Linked DNA regions of Elephas maximus indicus. The protein of the gene in region 2 purifies or fractionates together with the protein of the main gene of each other region. This does not show direct contact. Links are inferred from orthologs where the notes say so. Each region holds a gene or a part of one and is shown on either strand. Other genes may lie near its edges.

What was found. Proteins that work in one complex are often made in the same cells at the same time.
Region 1: the proteins of NUP133 (region 2) and SEC13 purify together in Homo sapiens (affinity purification with mass spectrometry; 4 studies listed by BioGRID and IntAct, counting the BioPlex papers as one, with this or other methods). This does not show direct contact. The link is inferred for Elephas maximus indicus from reciprocal best matches to the Homo sapiens genes NUP133 and SEC13.

Annotation. Positions count from the first base shown.
Region 1 is NC_064838.1:35,210,235-35,213,982, reverse strand, and holds the start of SEC13 (protein SEC13 homolog), read left to right. Parts: upstream 1-720; 5' UTR 721-822; coding exon 823-825; intron 826-3,434; coding exon 3,435-3,479; intron 3,480-3,748. UniProt on the Homo sapiens protein: Functions as a component of the nuclear pore complex (NPC) and the COPII coat. At the endoplasmic reticulum, SEC13 is involved in the biogenesis of COPII-coated vesicles.
Region 2 is NC_064821.1:210,143,865-210,147,612, reverse strand, and holds the start of NUP133 (nuclear pore complex protein Nup133), read left to right. Parts: upstream 1-826; 5' UTR 827-1,008; coding exon 1,009-1,190; intron 1,191-2,085; exon of another isoform or gene 2,086-2,352; intron 2,353-2,867; coding exon 2,868-2,986; intron 2,987-3,748. UniProt on the Homo sapiens protein: Involved in poly(A)+ RNA transport. Involved in nephrogenesis.

The DNA.
Region 1 (3,748 bases), on a different chromosome or scaffold from region 2:
CATAGACTCCACTCTAGGTCCCCTGCCTCCTTCAAGTCCCGAGGTGGCTTAAGGCTGGGCCTCAGGCTCTGGCCAGAAGCGCAGCGTTTCTCCCTGTGCCTGTGGGGAGCCCTCAGCTTCCCTCCTTTGGGCAGCGGGGGAGCGGGCTGGAAAACTGGGGGCTGGGTCCCGGGCTCTAGCTGCAGGAGCCTGGCTTCTCCTTGCCTGGGGATCTACCTGGTGGGCCAGACTCCTGGGTCCCGGGACTGCTGTGGAGAAGGAGCAGTTTGGAGGCGCAGGACCTACGGCTTGGGGAGGGCGGGGCAAGAGGTTTCAGCTTTTTTTGCCCCTTGTCCCAGCCCTTGGTCCTGAGGATGGGCTAACCAAAAAGGGAGGCTAGCACCAATCTACTCACCCCCGCCCCCAAATTGTTCGACCTACAAAGTTCATCATAAGGTCGCACCCAGAACCGCAGGGAGGCTGGAAAAGCTGGAGTTAAGGATCCTTTCTTTCATTGATGCGTCTGAAGAAAAGGGAAGGGCTGCTCAGGAAGGTAGGCGAGACAGAGCTTCAGATTCCAAACGGTCCCGGGTCAGGAACGCCGTGGAAACCAGAGCCGTCCCGCCTTGGCTTCCCGAGGACGAGGCTAAGGGGCGGGGCAGCGGGAGGGCGGGACGCGGCCTCGGGAAGGCACGGAACCTTCGTGGGAGCCGGAGCGGGTTGCTGCTCGGAGGCTCCTGAGCCACGGCCCGACGGCCTGCCAGCCGGCGCCGGAAGTGGGGCGTTCGGAGGTGCCGCCGGGAGCTGCCACGTCCGAGGCCGGGAGCTGCCGCCGCACCAGCCATGGTGAGTGTCGGGGCCGGCGATGCCGAGTGGGGCTCGGGCCCCGGTCGCTGTCCTGACAGAGCTGGCCTTCGCTGGTCCCTCGGCCGCGCTGAGGCTCCCACCCGGGCAGGGGTGATTCCAGCCCCCGCCGCCGGTTCGGGGTGGGGGGATCTGGCGGAGGAGGAGGCCCGCGTGAGGCCGCCGGCGCCCCGGAGCTCTGCGGGCCGCGCGGCTGCCGCGTCTCCCCTTCTCTCCTCAACAATTAAAGACAACGACAGTGCAGCACGGCAGCTGCTGTTCCCCCAGCGCTCAGTCAGGTCCAGGCGTCGCTCGTGACGGCCGCGCGGCGAAGGACGGCCTGTTACTATCGACGTTGTGCGGACGAGGAAGTTCGCGGCTCTGAGAGCTGAAGCCTCGTGCACGGCTGCTGAATGGCAGAGCTGAGACTCGAACCCCCTTAGCCATTCCCTCTCCCAGCAAAGATGTCTGTCGACTTTCTGGGTGCTGGGTCCCCCGAAGGTACCCCAGCTGCGAGGGACACTGCAGGAAACTGACGTAGGGATGAACTGAAGGACTCCGAGGGCAGGGCTGAGTGTCCTATCTCCGTGCTGTCCACGGTGTGCACTCGCGCGACGCGTCCTCGTTGAGGGAAAGACTGGATGGACGAGAGCTGAGAGCTGAAAGCATCCAGCCTGAGCCCGAGTCTGGCCCCGAGTGGGGATTCAGTAAACGCAGGCTGTCAGGAAAGCGGCTGCGCTTCATCAGCAGGCATGGGGGAGCCAGCGTGGACCCAGAAGTCAGGACACTGGGTTTAGTTCTTGCTCAGAGGGGAAGGCTCAGCCTTGGTATTAAATCGCCGGCCTCTTTTGGCCTCAGATTCTTCAGCTGCTGGTCTCTTATGCTCTGACATTCAGCTCATTCTAAATGAATTTTTAACTCATTAACTGATTCTGAAGAGCTGAATTGTTTTGCGTGTTGCCTCTTAAAAAGGACCACATAACTCCAGGTGCTCGGGAGGAGGTACTCTCAGAGCTTTAAAAAACACAACAACACTGGTTCAGAAGCATTGTTAACCAGCCCTCGCTAGTGGATGAGAGCGGTTAGAAATAAACGCTGGTTATCTCTAAGGTCTTTTGATGATCTGGTATAGAACTACTTCCCAGTAAACTTTCTTCCTGAATCTGTTCAGCCTTCAGCTATTGGATTTAAGGGATGTTCTAAATAGGCAGCCTGATGGAGTGGGAAGCTTTGTGGGCTGGGAGATAGGAGATCGGCCTTGATTCTAAGCTCTGTGGCTGTAGCAAGTGCTTTTCTACTCTAGGCTTCCATTCCTTAATCTGTTAGACAGCCCTGATTAACTCTGTCTTTCGTACATCCCAGCACACACGTGAAAGCTCTTCGTAACCTAGACAACTCTGCACACACAGGAAACTCTTCTTATCGTCCTTACTTCTCTTCGCAGACCTTGTGCACCCACTTGTTAGGGAGTCTAGCATTTGATGAAAGAACCTGGGCTCTTTTGATGTGTACCTTTTGAGCTGCTTTGCAGCCGTCCTCTTCCAGTGTCCACCTTTCTGAAAAGTCAAGTCAAACTTTATCCCTGCAGGGCTTGTGCAGGAAAGATGAAATAGGGGAAACGGTTAGAAATATCAGTTCCAAATTGAAACTTCCTTTTCAGTGCCCTTTTCCATCCTAAAAAATTTAAAGAATAGTGGTCAGTTTTGTTCACTCATTTATTCATTCAGTGAATAGTCACTCAGTTCCTTCTGTTTGCAGACACTGTGCTGGATGATATGAGGGGGTTAAACATGGCAGATGACTCAGACCCTGACCCCAGGGTGCTCACCTTCTAGTGGGGAGAAGAAATAACATGGAGTGTTGTAGACATTCAGTGCTGAAGATATTCAGAAGAGTGCACCTAGTTAGAGGATCTGGGAATTGTCCAGAAGGGGGTATTATTTGAGCTGGACCTTGAAACATGGGTAGGAAGGCAAAGACCATGACAGCCATCTTCTAGCCCTACAAACTACTCAGTCCTAGACCCCATTAGGTGATAGCCTCAGGTCTGTCACAGGTGATGGACCAGGGAGCATCCTCAGAAGGAATTTGAATCAAGTCTGCAAGTCTTAGGTATGAACCCTGTTATACAGAAACTGCCCAGAACATCAGGGCTCTGTCACCCAATAAGGGAACCAATAAGCTCTCTCAAGGTCCTCCTCACCTCAGTGGTTGCCTGGACTGCTTGCTGTTCCCCTACACACATCAAGCTCTTTCACACCTCTTTGTCCTTGTTCATATTGTTCCCTCTGTCTGGACTGTCCTTTTTTTCCCCTGTGCCACTTGGCAAATTTCACTCATCATCTAAGCCCCGGTTCATGTCTTCTACCACCACCACCTCGGCATCTACTTATGCCACGTTAGGGTTATTTTATGTGAACTTCTCAAGGGCAAAGAGTACCTTTTATTCATGTCTATGTCTCCAGTCCCTGGCATAGTGCTTGGCAAAAAGAATGACTGTTAAATGAATGAACAAATGGCAGTCAAGAATTTTAGAAACGGTTGGTGGGTTTAATAAGAAGATTGCATTCTAACTGCCATCAGTTAATTTACCAAAAATATTTTGCTTCTAGGTGTCAGTAATTAACACCGTGGATACTTCCCACGAGGACATGATTGTAAGTATTCATTCAGCCCACCCACAGAGGTTGTGGACACGGGCACCTCTGGGGAAGGGACACAGTTTGTGTTTTTCATTACTCCTTTCTATTGATCATTCATGGGCCAAGGTGTGGCTTTGCAGCCTTCTGCCAGTTAGGCTGTAGCTGTAGAGGGTATAGTCAGCCCAGACATGTCCTCTGAGTTGGCAGTGCTATGGCAGTCTGGTCACCTTTAGTGGAAGGAACCTAGGAATGGTTTTAGCTCGTGGCTCTCAGCCCTCTAGCTG
Region 2 (3,748 bases):
AAGGTGTGGGCAGTCATTCTAGCTCCTGAAAATAGCAGTTTTTATAACTGAATGGTGGGCAAATCACAAATCAGTCCAGCAAAGCACAGGAACAGAATTTATCCCACCAATCCCCTCTCAGACATGACTACTCTCCATTCCCACCGTGCACTCCCAAGTAGGAATGAAACCAGGAGGAACTGCTCTGGGCCATAAGACTCAAAGACACGCTGCAAAGCTGGGCTATAATCCTAGGTAGGAGGAGTAAACCAGTTTGCTTACATAACTTCGGCAAGATGACCAAAGACGCTATTAAGTTGCACAGAAGAATGATTTCCCAGGGAAATATCACCATCTGACACCCACACTGTGGTTTCCCACATATGATACGCCAGTGTTTACTTAACTATTACCTTACTTCAGCAAAAATTTAGGGAAGGTTTACTATGCACCTGTTGTAGTGTGCACCGTCCCTGCTTTGAGAGACAGTTAATGAAAACATTAAACTATTATGAGGATAAAATATAAATGCCCCACGTGCAGGAGCAGAGGGGCAAAGGATAAAAGGACACCCAACTCTGTGTAAGGCTTCAAGGTGGAGGCAGCAGAGTTGGGAAGTTCCACTGGTTTTCCAGTTTGACTCCCCTGCATGATCCGGACGCCCGCCGCACTGGCCCAGGAAACTCCGGCAGCAACCCTAAGCCCCCACCCGCTAGAGGACTCCGCTCCAGGGGGCTCGGCCCTGCGCCTGAACGTCATCAATGGCCGCCACTCCCGGTCAGCCTCCAGGGGCTCCGAGCACGCCCCGCGAGCTCGGCGCTGCGCTTAGACGTCATTAACGGCCGCCGCCCCGGCCCAGTCTGCTCGGAAGGCTGCGGCTCCCGCAAGGCCCGCAGGCCCGGCTCGGCGCTGCGCCTGGACGTCATCACCGCGAGTCCTCCCGCCCCTCGGTGTTCAAGCTCCGCGCGCGCCGCGTCTCAGCCGCACAGGCCGGAGCTGTCGGGCTCCCCGCCTCCGCTCCCTCGCATCATGTTCCCGGCTGTCTCTTCCCCTCGGACCCCCGGTCCCGGGTCCCGAAGGGGCCCGCTTGGCGGGATGGGGCCAGGCTCCACACCCCGGGCGGCAAGCAGGAAGGGGCTGTCCCTGGGGTCTGCAGTCAGCTCCCCCGTGCTCTTCTCGCCGGTCGGCCGGCGGAGCTCGCTGAGCTCGCGGTAAGTGTTCCTCCCCAGGCAGGTCCGACGACCGGTCGGCTCAGGGGTCTCGGTGGGTCCAATGGGGTAGTGTCTCCCCAAGCCTCTGGAACCTTGGGCGGAATTCCACAATATTGGGAAAATAGACCTTTTCCGCTCTTACCAGTTGCTATTTCAGCCCCCCCTTGGTTAATCCATCAATTGAGAACGACTACAGTACACCATGGCCGGGTGTACACCATTGCTTTTCACTTTTCGTGGAAATTACTTTTGTGGTGAAGAATAAAGTGAATTTGAATCAGTGATCACCCCTCTCCCCCTTACTACCTCTGTGACCCGGGGTAAGTCACTCGGATTCTTCTCACTAGTGAGATATCTGACCTGGAGCCTGCTTGACTAAGGCCAAGGGAGTCCTGAAGTGCCACGATGCAGATGTGATGGTGGTACTGGGGACCTCCAACCCTAGAAAACCATTCTATAGTGCCTAACATCCTAGGCCGTTAGTACCTCTAATAACTAAAGGGCTTTTAGCTACAGAATTTCACTTTGTAGCTAAATAGGGAAAAGGCTTTCCATAAGGAATAAGATAATAGTAGTTTTCTAGCCAAACACAGATGTACAACAGCTGTCCACATCCCCCCCTCCATGTTCATTAATCAAGCTAGAACTTTAGAAGAAAGTAGTATCTATTTCGAAGTAGTTTCCTCTGAATTTGTCTATTAAAAATGAATTTTTCCCCTGGAGGAAAAATGGTAATGCTGGGTCTGGAACTCATGGCTAAGTTTTATGTATACAGTGTTGGCAGTACTTTAAAGGAGAAATGATTTTTAAAGAATGCGTTATAGCCTTGACTTCTGATGCTTGATCTTGAAAAGTGCTTTTGAAAGTGATGTCACTATTTTCTGTTCCTTTTTAGAAAAACTGGAGAATAAAAGCTGTTTTATTTAATTAAAAAAAATCTCTTACCATCTGTTGATCGTTCAAAGAAAAATCTTGTTATAATACTTCTGTCAAGAAACAAAGCCATTCTAGCTATAGACCACTCTATGTGCCTCTCCTCATTTAATCCTAAGAAGAGATAGGATAACTTTTATAATGGTGGCTTTACATCATGATTCTGAATTTGAAGAAGAGAGTGAGAAGGGAATATAATTCTACTGCTATATCTACTATTGAAGACCAGGTAACTGCAGATGCTTGCTGCACAGACCTGATAGGTTCTTAGAATTTTAGAGCTAGATGAGAGCTTACTGATCATCTAGCACAATGTTTGTCAAACTTTTTGACCACAACATGTGATAAACTGTATGTATTTATATATATATATATATATATATATATTTTTTGGAAAATATGTTGACTGATACCCTTAAACTGACCTGCATTTTGAAAAACACTGATCTAGTCCAGCCCTCCTATTTGACAGTTAAGGAAGCAGAGTTATAAAGACTTTAAGTGACTAGAGGCATCTGTCCAATTACTAGAGCATAATGGTCTGAAAAGCCAGGTTTTCCTAAGACCCCGATAGTATTTTTTTTTTAACAAAAATTACATTTGATTACACAAGTATGCATAAGCCAGAGTTCTTCCCATTGTCACGCCTCTTCTTCCATGTGTCTTATTTGTCAATGAACTCTTTAATTAGAAATTATATACATGAAAATTTATGAATAAAGTAATGTGATTGCTTTTCTTTAGAGGAACACCGACACGAATGTTCCTGCACCACTCCGTAACTGAGTCTATGAACTATGATGTGAAAACGTTTGGATCTTCTCTCCCTGTTAAAATTATGGAGGCCCTAACGTTGGCTGAAGGTAGGTCTCATCTTTCCATTTGCCTCTATTACCAATTCAGCATGAAGCCTAGGTCTGACTTGATGATCAAAATTTATGTATTCTCTGGTTTACGTATACCTAAATGGAGAGAAACAGGTAGTTGATCTAGTTTTTCACTATCATTGAGAAATGTAATAAATTTGAGGAGCAGAATGAGTTTATTCTAGCACAACCAAATTAGGTCTTTGATGGTTTCAAATACTGCATGTCCAAAATTCAGTTCGATTTCAAGAGTTACTTAAGTATATGAAGTTTAAAAACAAACCAGTCATTTTTGGATTAATGATGCTGTAAAATCAAGTCCTACCTCCATTAGATCATATATATCCCAGAGTCTGTTCACACAAATCAGTGATAACTACCAGTGTGGTTACATTTAGAAGGTTCTGTTGACAGAGAATTAAAGTGGAAGTTGGGAAGACCCAGTGAGCATACGGCTCAGAAAGGCAACATTAAGAGTGAGGGGTTGGGTGCCTGGAAGAGCGAAGTTCAGAGCATCTGCCTGAGTCATTGTTTTTAAGGATTTAATGATTCTAGATCTTTGTGATTTTCTTCAGTAGTGTTTTTCAAACTGTAGGTTGTGAGTGAAACCAGCTTGGTGGTTTGTGGCCAGCATTTTAAAAAAAATGAAATAGAAAAGAATGGGAAATATCAGCATGCATCTCCTATAGTAAGGTTAGGTAACTTTTGTTTCAGTTTTATTTAAATTGTGTGTAAGTGCATCATGCTGTCAAATGTGTT